Linked DNA regions of Drosophila melanogaster. The protein of the gene in region 1 interacts with the protein of each later gene in a pairwise test. Each region holds a gene or a part of one and is shown in the gene's direction. Other genes may lie near its edges. The genes, in order: RpS30, CG10959, ple and Secp43.

Evidence for each region.
Region 2: the proteins of RpS30 (region 1) and CG10959 interact in a two-hybrid assay, tested with the Drosophila melanogaster proteins (one large-scale study listed by BioGRID).
Region 3: the proteins of RpS30 (region 1) and ple interact in a two-hybrid assay, tested with the Drosophila melanogaster proteins (one large-scale study listed by BioGRID).
Region 4: the proteins of RpS30 (region 1) and Secp43 interact in a two-hybrid assay, tested with the Drosophila melanogaster proteins (one large-scale study listed by BioGRID).

Annotation. Positions count from the first base shown.
Region 1 is NT_033777.3:20,848,721-20,851,933, forward strand, and holds RpS30 (ribosomal protein S30), read left to right. Parts: upstream 1-1,795; 5' UTR 1,796-1,907; intron 1,908-2,113; exon of another isoform or gene 2,114-2,134; 5' UTR 2,135-2,145; coding exon 2,146-2,223; intron 2,224-2,310; coding exon 2,311-2,631; 3' UTR 2,632-2,707; downstream 2,708-3,213.
Region 2 is NC_004354.4:8,147,141-8,151,197, forward strand, and holds CG10959 (uncharacterized protein), read left to right. Parts: upstream 1-1,642; 5' UTR 1,643-1,757; coding exon 1,758-2,336; intron 2,337-2,404; coding exon 2,405-3,157; 3' UTR 3,158-3,546; downstream 3,547-4,057. Other genes in the region: CG2129 (uncharacterized protein), read left to right, coding at 1-206; CG15336 (uncharacterized protein), read left to right, coding at 875-1,354; Gbeta5 (G protein beta subunit 5), read right to left, coding at 3,927-4,057.
Region 3 is NT_037436.4:6,713,468-6,721,184, reverse strand, and holds the start of ple (pale), read left to right. Parts: upstream 1-1,659; 5' UTR 1,660-2,111; coding exon 2,112-2,180; intron 2,181-3,169; coding exon 3,170-3,281; intron 3,282-3,512; coding exon 3,513-3,632; intron 3,633-3,758; coding exon 3,759-3,851; intron 3,852-4,235; coding exon 4,236-5,055; intron 5,056-5,350; coding exon 5,351-5,477; intron 5,478-5,816; coding exon 5,817-6,215; 3' UTR 6,216-7,717. UniProt on the Drosophila melanogaster protein: Plays an important role in the physiology of adrenergic neurons.
Region 4 is NT_033779.5:4,452,664-4,456,129, reverse strand, and holds Secp43 (tRNA selenocysteine associated protein), read left to right. Parts: upstream 1-1,676; 5' UTR 1,677-1,767; coding exon 1,768-1,803; intron 1,804-1,864; coding exon 1,865-2,839; 3' UTR 2,840-2,961; downstream 2,962-3,466. Other genes in the region: Gs1l (GS1-like), read left to right, coding at 1-16, 392-804; ND-B8 (NADH dehydrogenase (ubiquinone) B8 subunit), read right to left, coding at 992-1,074, 1,136-1,242, 1,304-1,401; CG15439 (uncharacterized protein), read left to right, coding at 3,179-3,466.

The DNA of each region.
Region 1 (3,213 bases):
GTAATTTAATATTTCAATGCGGAAACTGATTGACTTCACTGTTTTTTTTCTCATGCCAACATCACATAATGGGATCAAAAATGCCGACCCCACATATATGATAATACATGCATATGTATGTGTTGCTTAAAATGAAACGCATATGGGAAAATACGCACGAAAAGGTGAATGAAAATGTGGAAATTCGCGTGCCGGAAAAACAGCAAATGGCGAAATAAAGACGAGGGGCAGGCTAAGCCGATTTGGCAATTGTTGCCGTTGTTTTTATGGTCAAGAGTAATTTCTTTTTCCGCTGCCTTTGTGTGCAAACATTGTAAAATATCAGTTTACAAAGCGGCAGTTCCTCCAAACAGTGATTTTGGGGGAAATGATTTCGGATGCGTTTCCCTAGTCCATTTTCAGCCACAAGGTCAGACAAATGAGTTTACGCAAATCCAGGAGCTGTCTGCCCCTAATCCCGAGTAAATCCGATCATGGGCGTAGGGGAATGCCTGGGATATCTATCCAAATCGAAGTGGACAACATAAAGAGGGAAATGCACGCGACACTTTGCTATCTTAAATGAGCATCGAAAGGTGGTCGTTGTCGAAGGGTTGAGAGTAATATTAAATTTCGTATCTGGTATCGAAGGATCATTAATACATGCAACCCTAAATTATATATATACCTTTAATAGTGTATAGCCAAGGTCTTCTTTTCAAGACTCCGGATTTCCATCCAGTGCCCATCCACATCCTCGGAGGATCGTGACCAATCTAAGCCGCACTCATTAGACGTAGATAATTCGTGCAAATTTGTCAAATCGGCTTATGATTTGCATTCTATGAGCGAATGTTTATGTTACTAATCTAGTCCTGTTTGACAAACAATGCGGCAATATTTATTCAAATGGCGTAGAATAACACACAGCCCACAGTCCTCCAGGATTCCCTCTTCCGTCCACCCTGCGGATCAAACAAAGGACAAGCGCAGGCGCATGCTTATGGCCCATTTTCCGTAAATGGTTCATTTGTACTCGTAAGACGAGGCCCACAAAAACTTGGGAAAACGCTGAAGATGGTTGCGGGCGGACTAGTTTTTGGGCTCAACGTAATACCCATTTTGCGTAGATTGCGGTAATCGGGGTGTGCTGGCTTAGCGAGGCGTCAGCCAGACTGTCCTTTTGCGATCCTTTGAGGGAAAGGAGACAATGGCATGGCCAATGACCATAGCCCAAGCTTTATTCGTGTAATATTGCAGAAATATTATAAGATTTTCGGTCTACGAGTAATGATATAATACAAATTTAATTATTTTCAGGCTTTAAAAAGTAACTCTCATAACTCTTTTAATTAGCAGGAGGATTTAAAAAGTGATTGCCTAATAATCAAATGGAAACTAACCTCTCATATATGCCAAGTTATGAAACTTATCAGTGTACAGTTTTGATTGTTTACGGGTAAAGTTAGCACTTCTTGAAATATTATTATTTTTTAAATAAGTATTTAAATTTACGAACGCAGTATATTCCCTAAACTAATTAAAGTTATTATTTGCTTTGGGTTATCTTTGAAAATCATAAATTTAAAGAAAAACATTAATAATAGTGTTATCTGTCTGAAGTAAAGTATATTAAATATTATTAATACATAAGTACATCGATTTTTAAAGCTAACAAAGCCGTTATAAAATACTAAAGTTCGAGAATATACCAAACCCTTTGAACAGAATTCTGACTGGTTACCCTTTAAGTTATCGATAGAAGCAATCGATTGACCAGCCTAGCTACCCGTCCCTCAATATTATTGCCAGACATGCAAATGCAATTCACTAACGCCTGACACGATAGTTGCACAACAAAAATCGATAGGCCCATCGATAATTCTGCGCCATCTTTCTTTTTCGGGATCCGCACACCAAGTTAAGAGGTAATCGAGTGATTTTTGTCGAAATATAATAGAAAATAGCCCAGTTAAACCCAAAATACCTGTGAAATGTGTGTGCGAGCGATTGTCAAGTGTGTTGGACGCCAAATGCCAACTGCAAAACGACCGAAAAAGGGAAAAATTGACTGAAACTCGGCACACGTGTTTCGCCCTACAAGTCAATATGAATATCTTCACTAATAAATGCATGCGGCATGGTTACTTTGCAGAGCGAATCATCATGCAGCTGTTCGTCCGTGGACTAGAGACCATCGAGGCCCTGGAGGTTTCCCAGGATGCCACCATTGCCGGAGTCAAGGTGAGTCCCCCCAATGACTGATATACAAATAACATAACCTAATTGTGTGTTCCCCATCCTCGTCCATTGTGGCCATCGCGATCGTAGAACCAACTGGCCCAGATCCATGGATTCAACGCCGAGGAATTCAGCCTCGATTGCGAGGGCATCACTCTGGCCAACGAGACTCCCGTGACCGCCCTGAGCTCCTTTGAGCTGGACCTCAACATTCCCATGCTGGGAGGTAAGGTGCACGGTTCTCTGGCCCGTGCCGGCAAGGTCAAGGGACAGACGCCCAAGGTGGAGAAGCAGGAGAAGAAGAAGAAGAAGACCGGACGCGCCAAGCGCAGGATCCAGTACAACCGCCGGTTCGTCAACTTTGTGCAGGGCTTCGGCCGTCGTCGCGGCCCCAACGCCAACTCCACATAGAAGGATTTTGGATGAACAAGTGTCTACCTTTTACTCCAGATTGATATGATTGTTCATAAAGTAATTTCAAACCTTTAAACAAACGGTGTTGCGCATTTCAAATTGTTAAATCACGGCAAGCAATTGTTGGAGGAATCTCGTACCTTGATTATTTATAATTAACTATTAGAAATTTATAGATGTGCGGTAGTGCGCGGAGTAGTAATCAAGTGTAACGTTAATTATTTAAAGTGAAGCCTTAAAATGCCACACATTACGCAGCTGGTGCAATAGTTTTGCTAAAGTTACCTGCTTAAATTCGACCACCGCATATGGCGGGAAACCAGTTTACTAGTAGGGTAAATGAAATGGAGCTCTCAATTGATATATTTATATTTGATAGCTTATTTAAATGTTTATATCTATATACGATTTTCATCAGCGTTGTACATGCCAGTTACTGCTCATTCATTACACTATTCCATGGCAAGAGCTCTTAGGATTCCCCAGTGGTCAGTTGGTGAACTGACGCCGTTTTCGACTGGCCCGAAAGCGACGATACCAGAACTCGCCGCACACTATTAAAAGAGCCAACGTGAAGCC
Region 2 (4,057 bases), on another chromosome or scaffold:
ACATGGCCATGCATTCCACGGAGCGACCGCATGTGTGCAGCGTTTGCGGTGCGACCTTCTCCCGACAGAAAGGCCTCTACCACCACAAGTTCCTGCACGCGGACACCAAGCAGTTCGTGTGCAAGCTGTGCGGGAATGCCTATGCCCAGGCCGCCGGTCTCGCTGGACATATGCGCAAGCACCGGAACGACGAGCTCAACGGATAGGATCCGGATCACCGAGGTCGTAGTCTAAGTTGTACGTTTTGTATCTTCCAATTCCGACGTTTAAGTTCAGGAACTCAGGCATAGGCTATATATAGGATTACCATAGAAATCAATGGTTTTTTGCATTGCTCCGGCATGGAGCGGGTATCATGTGACTCTTCGGTCCTCGTTTCACGGGTTTCCATCGAATTTATTTGACACGCACTGTAAATAATATCCCTAGTTTTAGATAAACTGAAAGTTTGTTAATCTGTTTCGAGTGAACTTAGTTTGAGGCAAATTTAATTGGCTCGATTGTAAGTACTAAGACTAAACTACATTTCCATGAATTTTCTAAACTACCAACTCAAATAATAACTAAACTTTGTTAAGGTTTAAACTATACATTAAGCACACAATGCTTCCAAGAACCAAATCGAACGCCGTAATCTCGGCAACCGGATGTGGCTAGTATTCGAATGGTTAACTTTTTTGTATTGATAAATATACATAACATGAATTTGATTCGCAAAAGAGAGCCCGCGTTTAAAATTAGCCAAGCGATTTGGTACCTTTGACAGCAATTAATCGGTCGACTGCTGCTAAAGCGGCCAAATGCCAAGATGGTATTGGATGGGGTGCGTCTAACAATAGTGCCGACGATTAGATTTGGCACACGCGGACCGACCATGTCGGCGGAACGTCCAGCTGCCAGCTCCGATAATCGGCGACTTATGTGCGAGTTCTGCGGCTATCGGACGCGCATCTATTGGAATCTGCAGATCCATCGTCGGCGACACACCGGCGAAATGCCCTTCAGTTGCCAGCAATGCCAGGCGCGTTTCCCGGCCAGCTATCAGCTGAAAAGCCACTTGGAGCGGCACTTGGACGCCGGCGAGCGACGCCAGCGGCACATTTGCACCGACTGCAACGTGGGTTTCTCCAGTTCGCGGGCCCTGTACCATCACCGGACGCTCCACGAGGATGGGAAGCGCTTCAAGTGCTCCCAGTGCGACAAGTCGTTCGCTCAGGCGGCGGGCTACGCCCAACACAAGCGGATTCACCGCCAGAGGAACCAGCGAGCCACCGAAACCACGGATCTGAAGGATCTGCAGATCAAAAGAGTGGTTTCAAGTGTTTTTCATCGGCGCGAGTTTAACACTGCATAAAATTCAGTGGAGTAATTAACATTTTATTTTTGTGTCATATTCAAATTTAAAAAAACCGGGTAACCGATTCGTTATTTCAACTGAAGTGCCTTATAAATAAAACAGGCAGTATCACTTTCTAAGAGTCTGGTAACAAATTGGTAACACTTGAGAGGAGCATATTGCTTAGCTATTTAATATACATAGATCAAATATAATTAATTTTGAACTTAAAATTTATTTTGTAGTTTATTCGGTCAAACGGTTAGTTTGGTTTGAAACATAGCTGAATGGCTGTGAAATCAGTGCTGGTTTGAGTCTGCACTAAATGTCTATCGAAGTCGATCGAAATTTTGTTTACATATTTTATTTTAATTTTGGTAAATAATATTGCAACAATTTTAATGTAAATAAGAATCAGAAAATGTTGAGACACTGCCTCGCCAACGTCGACTACGTCCGCCTGCACGCCCAGCAGCAGTTGCGTCCCAAATGCGGCGAGATCTTCTACGAACCGGAGGCGAATAGATTCCAACTGGTCTGCCTGCTCTGCGACATGAAGCACTTTGGATTCGAGGACTTCGCCCGCCATATCCGTAATGTGCACTTCGACAAGCAGGGCCGACCGCTCACCAAGACGGTCACGGGACTGGGCAGACTAGCACGAGAGGAACAGGAGTTCCAAGGGGTCAGCGCAGAACCATTGGCTGTGGACAGCTTCAAGAAAGAGTACCTGCCCAACGAGGATGTTCTGTCGGAGGAGGAGGACGCGGAACAGGAGCTGGGACTGGAACAGGACGAGGGCAATCCACTACGCATCATGGTGCTCGGGGGTAAACAGTCCGTGGACGAGGAGACCATCGATACGATGTGGCAGCCGGATCATGACAGTTCCTCCGCATCCGTCAACGAGGGGTGCGCTCTGGAGGCTCTGTTGGGCGTGGAAAATCCGCAAGACTATCAACCGGATGAGGACGGGGAGGAGCACCAGTCTGTTTTTAAGGTAGAAAAACTGTAGTACGTGCACTTGAAGAAGGAAATCCAATATCTGAATATGTTTTTTCCCTGCAGAAGCAGCGCCAACCAAAGGACTACAACTGCCCACACTGCGACAGGAGGTACACGACGCAGAAATACCTAAACACCCACCTAAAGATGAGCCATCCGTTTCCGCAGGCCTTCAAGTGCGTCGACTGCAAAGCCACCTTCGATGTGGACCGAGCATTGGCCCAGCATCGTCGCAAGGAGCACACGGAGTTCGCCTGCCAGCTATGCGACAAGGTGTTCAAAAGCTCGCGATCCCTTCTTCGCCATGTGCAGGGTCACTCCGGCGCCAGGACATTCAAGTGTGAGCACGAGAACTGCGGCAAGTCGTTTGTCAACCAGCACAACCTCACCTCGCATCGGCGGGTCCACAGCGAGGAGCGGAACTACGTGTGCGAGCTGTGCGGCTATAGATCCCGCTACCGGGAGGCGTTGATCGTCCACCGGCGCACGCATACGGGCGAGAAACCCTTCCAGTGCCAGACCTGTGCCCGCCGCTTTGCCTCCAAGTCGCTGCTCAACGAGCACCAGGCCATGCATTCCACCGAGAAGCCCTACAAGTGCGACAAATGTGATTCGGCCTTCTCCCGCCCGAAGGCGCTCTATCACCACAAGCATCTGCATTTGGGCATCAAGAAGTTCAAGTGCAAGATCTGCGGTAATGCCTATGCCCAGGCGGCAGGTCTATCCGCTCATATGCGAGCGCACAAGCTCCAGGCGTCCGTAAATGCGACGGAGGGTGCCGAGGCGGAACCCATCGAGATGCTTTTCACCTACTGACCGAACTGAGTGGAAACCTCCTGTCGCCTTAAGCTCTATTTCCATATAACTCAAGATATTCAAGATACACCACAAACAATGTTCACTGTTCTAGATTTTATAGATAGCTTATCAATGTTTATGGACACCCGACTCTTTCGTTCCAACTTTTCACATATATATATATATCTGTAAATAGTATTAGACATTTTCCAATCTAAGGCCGCAAATGTTCTTTTTTAATTTAAGTGATGAAGCCTTCCATTTCTGTGTCTCAAAAATTAGTACCTACATATCAGTAGAAGTCGTGTGTAAGCTGTTATATCTGTTAGTTTAGCTAGTTTTAAGCCAAGACCTTGCTTCCGACTAGGACAAACCACGTATGTACAATAAATGTTCTGATACACGTTACTCCAACATGGACTTTCAAATGGGCGCACAAAGAAGCCAGTTTGTCTATAGCTCAACATTTATTTCGAACAGGAACTTATAACTAGTCGCATATTGGTTACACTTGGATGCATATACATGTATATATTTAGATTCAATTTGGTACAGCAGCTGGTAGTAAGCATAACACTGCGGTAACCAAGACATCCATGCTGGCAATCCCGACATGAGACATATGTACACACTTGGGGGATCACCGAATCCGTAACTTAACTATCCTAGAGATGCGATGCACAACACAAAAAAAAAAAAAAAAAACAAATCAGAAGAGAGGGAAAACAAAGCGAGACGGCATCTGTCCTGGACAAATGCATCCCCCAACAATAAGGTGCCACATGGCTTAGGCCCACACCCGTATGGTGTAGTCCCAACTGCCGGTGGATAGAGCGGTGCCATCGGGCGAGACCTGGACGCAGGACACCTTGTTCTCGTGCCCGTACAGCAGGCAGACCCTTTCCGATTTCAGCGTGT
Region 3 (7,717 bases), on another chromosome or scaffold:
GATATTCTAAGTAAAAAGCTTTTCGATGTTGTCAAATGTATTTCCTAGCTCCCACAAACTTATTAACTCACCAATCCCACTCTATCGATCCAATTTGTATAATGGATCTATCAGATCGATAATTATGTTTTTGCTACTCCAGATGCCTTAATAACTTAATGCGGATCGAAGCAAATAGACGTATATGTGATGTGTTAGCTCATTATCGGGCTCGTTAGCTCAATCAAACGATTCGATCTACTAATTTGAACGGTCCGCATTAACATCGGCATTAGTTAGTTAGTTAGTTGCTAGATGCAGGCTGCAAGGATGACCGGATTGTTGGCAAGTACAAGTGCACATATGTAGATCAATGGCAAATTTGCTTCGATCTCGACATCGCCGCTAACTGAATTTGGTTAAAAGCTAACACGATTGAAAATAATGCTGCCACTGCCACTGCCACTGAAAATGTCATTCGAATTGGCGGCCCGAGTCCAATTTGAGAAGCGGCGGCAGCCTTGCCAACGTTATCAGCTTACAGGACAGGAATATATATATAATTATTTATATAGATTGCTATATGGTCGGTCTCGTAATCCGTCAGCTGCCATATGCAAATCCCAATCGCCAGATGTTTTGACGGGGCTTTCAATTATGCCATAGATATTGTAATGTGCCTGTACTTATCGCCCGGGCTTAGTTTAATGTGCTACATTTACGCATGCAAATTAGTTGTTAAATGTGCTTTTAAAATTTAATCGATATGGCTGGGTGCCACCTACTTACATCTCGGGCACGCACGCAGCCATGTGATCCGTACTTCCTGTTTACCATTACTTTGTTTTCCAGCTCACTTTCACTTGGTCCCTATACGATCCGCTTCAGCATCCGCTCTAGTTCTGACGCGATTCGATTGAGTCATTCAGGATCTAATGCGAATTGCTGGGTTCTAAAACTGAACGAGATCTTCGACTGTTGTTACACCTAGAAAAATGGAACGTATCATAAACGTAAGGTGCTTTTATTGTCTAAAACATTCTTAATAATTTTAACCTACTTCTTTAAAATAATTCTAGTGGTTAAAAACATTTCCCTAAAACAACTTACAGAGTAAGAATGTCATATATTTTCATTATTTTGCTCTGTGCACACACGGCGTATGCTTAACATTTGGCATGGACTAGCTTCGCTTTGTTTGGATTTGTTTTGGTTTTTTCTGTATGACCTGTTGAGGCTTTTCAAATGACTCCCGTTCGACTGACTGAATACTTTTGGGGTATTCTACCACCATTCCGATTGACGCGCACGCGCTAATGGTTAACCCCGCTTTTTAGCCAAGCTACAAGAGCAACAAAAACATGGCCAATGCGACGTTCTAGCCTGTTGCCGCACTTGAACTTGGTCGACCAAGTTGAGTCGAGTCAGGCCCCGCGATTCTCGACCCACTCAGCTGGCTGGCTAGCTGGTTAGCTGGCTGGTGAGAGGAAACCCCACGGCATCGGCATCTTGGCTTTAACCCAGCTACAGCTGGGCAACTACGTCACAGTCGCGTCATGCGAAAACCAGTCATCGTCGTTTGGTGAAGCAAACAATCGTCGGCAATCGGCCGAAACGTTCGTTAACTTGGCCGTCGGAATCGGAATCTGGGGGTATTTAAGCGGCGGCAACTCGACATGAAGCATGCATTGATTCGCTATCATTCGCCCTAAAGACTTGTGCCCAGCCTCAAGTAGTTTGCTGACTCTGTTTGTTGTAATACAATTTAGCTGACAAGGATAATACACATCACCACATCAGTTTCGAGTTCGCGAAAGGATCCAGCTAAAGTTCAACCGATCAACCATCTATATATCCCGCCGTGAATTCGAGAGTCGAGAGTTCTTGTCCAGCTCAATTCTAGACGCAAACAGTTCAGTACCAGGAGCGATTTTCTTGAAAAACAAAACCACCCAGCCAGATCGCCAATAAGCAGTGAAAGTGTCAACACATTTCGAGTGCTTATTGCAAATCAAACAAGAAAAGCGTAACCAAGCACATAAGCAAATAGTATTCTAAGTGTTTTTGCCAACACTTTGCGTAAATTTTTGTTGTTCACCCCAAACGAAAACAACCCAAACACACAAAAAAAAATGATGGCCGTTGCAGCAGCCCAAAAGAACCGCGAGATGTTCGCCATCAAGAAATCCTACAGTATTGAGGTGAGTCGAAAATCCAGCAAAACATACAATTTCCAAATCGAATTGTAAAAAAAAAGAAGCAAATGAGTGACTAGATTTGGTCTACGTGACTATCTAAAGGTTTTGTGTTTTCAAAAAAAAACCAGTTAACCGGCCAGTAGTCGAGCCCATTTTTGTGATCCCGCATTTCTTTTTCGCCAATTCAATTTGACCAAACTCAATCCTCGGTTGGCCATTAAGTCACACCTCTAAGAACAGGCGGCCCAAATCGAAAGGCCCAAATCGCCAACGGACACAACGGGTTGTGTGTTAAGTTATTATTTAACAAATAAGTGAAAGTGGCTGCCTTTGGGCCCCATGCACTTAGCCTGGCCGAAACAGTCGCGCCTCATTGTTGTTGACTCGTCTCTGTTTATGTTTATGCTGCGTCCGAGCAAAACAAAAAATATGAAATCAATATAAATGATTCAATGAGTTGGTCATCTTTCATCAGCCAAAGCGGTGGCCCAAAAAAAAAAACTGAAGAAAACAAACAAACAAAAAAAAAAAAAAACGAGCTGACAGTGAAAACTGCAAGTGATGGAAACCTTTTTCCCCCCATCAAGAAAAAGAAAGAAAAAAAACCTTTAACGATCGCCAGTTGCATTTTTTTCCCGCCAGAATCGCATGGGGATTTTCGATTTCTCAGTCACATATCATTTATCTTCGCACCTGCCCGCTTCGAAGCGGCGACATCGCATTAAATTACCATTCGTGGCTTTGAATCACAATCAATACAGTTCCATGAATAGCCAGCTTTATTCAAAGAAAAAGATCTGAAGACGGCGCTTTCACACACCATTTTATATAATATTTTCAAAATTGCGCAATACTCTGCTCAAAGTCACCACCCAAGCGTGGAGCCGAAGAAAGCCACCCTGGCTTGAAGGTCAAGGCAATCGTCTAATTTCCGCTCCACATCCTGCCAGTGTCACTAACACGGACTTCAATCTTTTCGCTTTCGTTTCCAGAATGGCTATCCATCCCGCCGTCGCAGCCTGGTGGATGATGCCCGTTTCGAGACCCTGGTGGTCAAGCAGACCAAACAAACCGTCCTCGAGGAGGCCCGCAGCAAGGCAAATGGTAAGTGGATAGGGTCCAACAAGTGGGTCACTAAAATAGCTCCAAAGAGGGTTTCTATTTGGGATCAAAAGGGAAATTTTGCAGCTAGGGCTTTACTTGTTGATTAAAAACTTAAAAAGTTGCAATTTTTATTTCATTTTATTCGTTTTGACATAGATTTGCGTTTTTTTCTTATTCATTTTAACCCTTTATTTATTATTTGCCTTCGTTTTTATTTTTATGATTTTAAAGACGATTCCCTGGAAGATTGCATTGTGCAGGCTCAGGAGCACATTCCCTCCGAGCAAGATGTGGAGCTCCAGGACGAGCATGCCAATCTGGAGAACCTGCCCTTGGAGGAATATGTTCCAGGTTAATATCCATTTCCATTTCAATTCCCATGCCAGTTACTCCTCTTTCTGAGCCTATTATCTTTGATTTGATTTTGATTATGATTTTCATGGGCTTTATTATTATTTTTATTTCATTCGCTTTTAGTTGAGGAGGATGTTGAGTTTGAGAGCGTTGAACAGGAGCAGTCGGAGTCGCAGTCGCAGGAGCCAGAAGGCAACCAACAGCCGACCAAGAACGGTGAGCAGGGGGTTCTAGAATCCAGCAGCCAACCATAAGTAGTACTTAACTTCTGAGAGGGGCTTTTGAAAAGCGTGCGACATTGATTTAAGTGCTTAATATGATAAAGTGCCAGGGCAGAGGAAAAGCACTCAGCCACACGGACAATTGTGAGTGGGCGCGCTCGCTCGCTCTCTCTCTCTCTCTCTCTCTCTCTGTGGAAATGTCGCATTTCCCTTTTTCATTTGTTACGCTCGACTTAATACAAGTACGAAATGCGTTTGCCTGGCAACCGTCTCACTGCCACTGCCACGTAGCTCGCTTATCGTTTACGTGACCCTAAGCCTTGGAAGATTGCATCCTTAACCATCACATTATCCCCGCTTTTTTTTGGCCCTTTTGCAGATTACGGTCTCACCGAGGACGAGATTTTGTTGGCCAATGCCGCCTCCGAATCCTCGGATGCCGAGGCTGCCATGCAGAGTGCCGCTTTGGTGGTCCGCCTCAAGGAGGGCATCTCCTCCTTGGGTCGCATCCTCAAGGCCATCGAAACCTTCCACGGCACCGTCCAGCATGTGGAGTCCCGTCAGTCGCGCGTGGAGGGCGTGGACCACGATGTCCTCATCAAGTTGGACATGACCCGTGGCAATCTGCTGCAGCTGATCCGCTCCCTCAGGCAGTCGGGCTCCTTCAGCAGCATGAATCTGATGGCCGACAATAACTTGAATGTCAAGGCTCCGTGGTTCCCCAAGCACGCCTCCGAATTGGATAACTGCAACCATCTGATGACCAAGTACGAGCCCGATTTGGACATGAACCACCCCGGATTCGCCGACAAGGTATACCGCCAGCGTCGCAAGGAAATTGCCGAGATCGCATTCGCCTACAAGTACGGAGACCCGATCCCATTCATCGACTACTCCGATGTGGAGGTCAAGACCTGGCGCTCGGTGTTCAAGACCGTTCAGGATCTGGCTCCCAAGCACGCCTGTGCCGAGTACCGGGCCGCCTTCCAGAAGCTCCAGGATGAGCAGATCTTCGTGGAGACCCGTCTGCCCCAGTTGCAGGAGATGTCCGACTTTCTGCGCAAGAACACCGGATTCTCTCTCCGTCCTGCCGCCGGTCTTTTGACTGCCCGGGACTTCCTTGCCTCCTTGGCCTTCCGCATCTTCCAGAGCACCCAGTATGTGCGCCACGTTAACTCACCATACCACACCCCCGAGCCGTAAGTATCTATCATCATATTTTACTAGGGGGTTAAAATCACTTCAAAAAGGGGAGAAAAAGGCTCTTTGTCCTAGCCTAATTGCATTTGCCTGCCTGCCTGCCGCCTGCCTCTGTGTGTGTGTGGGTGGTTGGGTTTCCTTTTCCGCTTTTCCCAAGCAACTTTTGTCGCCTGGAACACAGGCAAATTGGCTACAGGAACTGCGGCAGGCTGCCCAGCTCATTTAACCAGACTAATTGCCTTATGCCAGCACATTTTCCACACTTTTAACAAGCATTATTCTATGCCATTACAGCGACTCCATTCACGAGCTGCTGGGTCACATGCCCCTGCTGGCCGATCCCAGCTTCGCCCAGTTCTCGCAGGAGATTGGACTGGCCTCGCTGGGTGCCTCCGACGAAGAAATCGAGAAGCTGTCCACGGTGAGTTGATTTTCTAATTGAGTTGCAATGTAACGACCTTAGACTCAAGTGCAGCTATGACGCAGCTAGTTTTTTTTCGCAACCAAGATCATTGTTTAGTCACTGTCAAAGTCGAAGAGGAAAAGTGAACTTCAATGCCAGAATAATTTTTTTCTTTTTATTCATATAGTTTACAGATACAATTTAATGCATTTCAAAACACTTAATTGTGATTTTAAATAAGTTTTTAAGTTCAGAAAACCTTGATCTTATAAGTCATACAACTTCCTGCATTATCTGCCTTTGCTTTTATTTTCCTTCCTATTTACTCATTGGTTCCTTACCATTTCATTTCTACAGGTATACTGGTTCACTGTTGAGTTCGGTCTCTGCAAGGAACATGGTCAGATCAAGGCCTACGGTGCTGGACTCCTGAGCTCCTACGGTGAGCTGCTCCATGCCATCAGCGACAAGTGCGAGCACCGCGCCTTCGAGCCCGCATCCACCGCCGTGCAGCCCTACCAGGATCAGGAGTACCAGCCCATCTACTATGTGGCCGAGAGCTTCGAGGATGCCAAGGACAAGTTCCGTCGCTGGGTGAGCACCATGTCGCGTCCATTCGAGGTGCGTTTCAACCCGCACACCGAGCGCGTCGAGGTGCTGGACTCCGTCGACAAGCTGGAGACTCTGGTGCACCAGATGAACACGGAGATTTTGCATCTGACCAACGCCATCTCCAAGTTGCGACGCCCGTTCTAAGTGGATGGGGGGGAGATATATGTATGATATATAGAAGCACCCAAAAACATCGCCCAAAAAAACACCAGCCACCCCCACCACCCAAACATACACATACAGGTGCAACGGTCTCATTTATACAAATTAATTTTAAATTGACATACCGCACAATCCCTCGTACACGTAATCCTTAAACCAAAATTAAGGCATCGCGCATTATTTTTTATTTTTTGTTTATTGTTTTTTGTTTAATTTTTATTTAATTGTCATCGAAAAGTTGTAATTGTCGAATCGCGCACATGGTAAAAAACACAAAAATCAAGCATATTTATTTGTTGATCACCCGATACACCACCCAACCTGCATATTTATCACCGCAACTATTATTGGACCAAAAAATCTTTAGACGTTTAAGTGATGTGAAAACAAAGCCAAGCCAAGCCAAGCAAAGCAAAGCGAATTAAGTGAAGTGAAAAGCTGGGAAAGCAAAGTTCAGATACATCCGCACTTAGTAGGCAAAGTACCACACAAAAACCGATTGTATACTCAGACAAAAATTGTTTTTGTATTATTATTATCTTCATTTTGCCTCTCACAATATTTACCTAGACTATATAGACACGCGATATAGTATTCCCGGTATAGGAAGCTTCATTTAGAGAGAGTATTTCTAAACAAAAATGATATAGATACAACAATCGAGCAAGGAACAAATGGAAAACAAACAAAAAAAAAAACGGAAAAGATAAAAAATGAAATGGAAAACAAAACAGAATTTTCTTACATTGTACAATAACTGTAAACGACAATATTACTATTGTGTACTATTATTATTATTATCTATTATTATACTTATGACTATTACGTATTGTATTGTAGGTATGTAGAGTTTAAACATTATTATTTTATTTAAGTTTTGTGTATTAATAAAATTAAAAATGCAATTGAAAAATAATTACTCTTTGGTTTTTTCATTTGATTATCTTCTTTGGCAATTCGAAACTCTAAAGTCTGAATCTGTTTAGGGAACATTTTATGACATCAAAATGGAATATTTATTTAAAATTAATGAGTAGAATCGAGGAATATGATAAATATATTTATGGGTGAGAAGAAGTGAATCTCATGTGAACTAAAATCGAGCTATGTAGAAAATATTTCACAAATTTGATGAAATTATATAAAATAACGAAAAACCTTGGACCAATACATATGTATTATTATAAAGTAATTAAAATCAAAATATTTCAAAGTAAACAAAGTAAAACATTGGGATCAAGAATATTACATATTTATAGTTAACGTAGCATGGAATTTTATTGTTATTGTTCGATGTATTGTAGTTGCAATTGGATCGAAAGCCAACCAAGTGTTAACATTTCTGCAAGCAATTAGCCAAACTAATTACTAATTATATTCGCACATAAATCTATATATATAATCAACTTAAAGCGCAGTTGGTCCCCAAGCCAGGCTTCGTTGGTTCTGAAAAATTCAATAAAATTATATGTTTGAATGGAGCA
Region 4 (3,466 bases), on another chromosome or scaffold:
GCCCAGTTGATGCCAGGTACTAATCCCAGTTCTCGCTTTGCCGTCACGTTTCAGACACGGAGAGGATATACGAGGAGGTCACCCGGCAAATAGCCGCCTCCTTTGGCCGCCCGTATCCGGAGGAAGTGCGTTTCCGGGTAATGGGCACCACGGACCAGCGCTCGGCAGAGATAGCCATCACCGAGTGCCAGCTGCCCATCACAACCGGAGACTATCTCAAGCGGTACTCGCAAATGTGCCACGAGCGATTCCACAACGTACCCCTGCTGGAAGGTTAGCACCACGACCAGAAAACTAATCGGCATTTCTCCCTATAAATACTTCTGCTTCAATTACTATCCTACTGTGATTAAAGCCGTTTGTTAATCGTGTGCTTCCTTCCCCGTTCAAGGTGCTGAGCGCCTGCTGCGTCACCTGCACGCCAACAAGGTACCCTTTTGCTTGGCCACCAGCTCCGGCGCCGACATGGTCGAGCTGAAGACGGCCCAACATCGGGAGCTGTTCTCCCTGTTTAACCACAAGGTGTGCGGTTCGTCGGACAAGGAGGTGGTCAACGGCAAGCCTGCGCCCGACATTTTCCTAGTGGCCGCCGGCAGATTCGGTGTGCCGCCCAAACCGTCCGACTGCCTGGTGTTCGAGGACTCGCCGAACGGCGTGACGGCTGCCAACAGCGCCGGAATGCAGGTGGTGATGGTGCCGGACCCACGACTGTCCCAGGAAAAGACCTCGCACGCCACACAAGTGCTGGCCTCGTTGGCGGACTTCAAGCCGGAGCAGTTCGGGCTGCCCGCCTTCACGGATTGAACTTAATGGCTGACGTACTTTTTGTAGCTAAAAGATGCTATTGCTGTAATTGGAAATCGATGTACCTACCAAGAAAATGAATTTAAGTGTAAATGTTATCCCATATACACGTATACGTATGTGTGCATAAAGCATCTGGCTTTGCCTTTATTTTGCGCCTAATCTACATAGTTTTCCAGCGTAAGTTCTATTTGCCAACCGCTTCCAGGTTTTTGTGTATGTCAGGAGCAGCGTGGTTGGCCAGGGAGAGGGACACTTCCTTGCCGTTGCCTGCGGACATGGGAATCGATGTGGGGGAAGCTAGCAGCGCACATTATGCTAATCTACTCACCATAGCGGGCGTAGAGGCGGGGCTGGACGCCAGAGCACTCGCGCACGAGGATCGGCAGGTCGGGATTGCTCTTCTTCAGGTTTGGATAGAACCTTTCCACGTATTCCCTGTAAAGGAACGCTGCTTTAGCAAATTATATAATTTAAAAGCGGAAAATGACAATTTCACCTGACTCCCTTGGAAGTGTCTCCTTTGGGATCCAGAATGATTCGCAGCTCCTTCAGTTTTGGAGTAAAACTGGCCAATCGGAACAGAGTAATACCCATTTTGGCACCACTTTTGCGATTTTGAAATGTTCAGGAAGTAAGTCTATTTAAATGTCGGTACTACGCAGGGTTGTCAAACTGTCTTGGATTACATATTGGTATTATTGTTTTTTAAAAACAAATTACTTTTTGGCTCAAACTAAAATAACGTCTAACTCACCAGAGACGCGAACCATTAGTTGCATCGTTTGAATATCCATTCCAAAGACAAGAACCAAGGCAATTGTCTTGGCTGACACCAGGTCAGCATTTGATTGGCCCACATCGATAAATACCGATAAATGCTTGACGGCCAGTCACTCATTTGTTTTGGTAAACATCATTTGTCTCTGGAAAATATTCAATTGAACACGTATTTGAACAATTATGGCGTCCGTGCATTGTCAACTGTGGATGGGAAGCGTAAGTAGCAACGTGCATTACCCCAGACACATGACCCTTTAAGCCCGCATGGCCATTTCAGCTGGAGTCCTACATGACGGAGAACTTCATAATCGCCGCTTTCCGGAAGATGGGCGAAGATCCCACCACGGTGCGCCTGATGCGCAACAAGTACACGGGCGAACCGGCCGGCTACTGCTTCGTCAACTTCATATCCGATGACCATGCGCTGGACGCGATGCACAAGCTAAACGGTAAGCCCATTCCGGGCACCAATCCCATTGTGCGATTCCGTCTTAACTCGGCCAGCAACTCGTACAAGCTGCCCGGGAATGAACGCGAATTTAGCGTCTGGGTGGGCGACCTCAGCTCGGACGTGGACGACTATCAGCTGTACAAGGTGTTCTCCAGCAAGTTCACATCGATCAAAACCGCCAAGGTGATCTTGGACAGCCTGGGGTTTTCCAAGGGTTACGGCTTTGTGCGATTTGGCATCGAGGATGAGCAGAAATCAGCGCTGTACGACATGAACGGGTACATCGGATTGGGTACCAAGCCCATAAAGATTTGCAATGCCGTGCCCAAACCCAAATCCGAGTTGGGTGGTGCTGTGGGCGAAGGCAACACAAACTATGGATATGGAAGCGGTATGACTGCAGCAGGTGGCACCGACTACTCGCAGTACTACGACCCCACCAGCACCTATTGGCAGGGATACCAGGCCTGGCAAGGTTACTACGAGCAGGCCGGTGCTTCGATCACAGATGCGGCTGCATACTACCAGCAGGCCATGTCGCAGTCGCACTCTAATCCGCAGACTCTGGCCCAGCACGCCGAGGCCTGGAGCGCACAACGCAGCGCCCAGTACGAGCAGCAGCAGCAGCAGCAGACCGCTTCCGCCGCCAATGGAGCTGAGGATGAGAACGGACTGGTGGAGCACAAGTTCGTCCTGGATGTGGACAAACTGAACCGAGAGGCCATTGATGCCGACCGCCGTCTGTACGATGCTCTGGAGAGCTCTAAGTGGCTGCCCATTGAGCAGCTGGAAGTCTTTTAGGATACTTATCTACTATATTTATAGCTTACTATAATTACAGCTTAGATATAAGCAAAAAATATAAAAGCCTGACTTGTAGCGTATTATTGTTTTTGAGCCTGCTATAAACTTTTATGCTCCTGAATCTACATTTCTTAACAAAGGATTCAAAATAAAGGATACATTTTTACAAAATATCCCTAATATCCTTACAACAGATGTATTTTATCGATATACAGACGGAATACTATTCTGTCCGTGTCATCGCCATGTCGGCCTATCGACTGTCGATAGTTTCTGCCTTGGCCCGAGACTTTCGGAGATTGTGCAGACAATTGCGGACTAAATAAGCGTTGAATCATGAAGCGAGCGCGGCAGCCGAAGATTACTACGCAGGCCCTGCTCGATTTTGACTTGGGCGAGAGTTCCTCGGATAGCGACTTCCTGCCGGACATCGACAACTGCTCGGACGGATCGAAGGACGAGAGCGATGGCGACGGTAGCAGCAGCGACGCCAGTGGTGGCTCCGATTCTGAATCGGATTCGGATGCGGAGAGCGAGGATTCAACACTGCAGCTCCGGCAGCTGTTGGCGGAAACGGAACCGTCACCACTGGAGAACGGGATCAATGGAGTGGACCACTGCGCA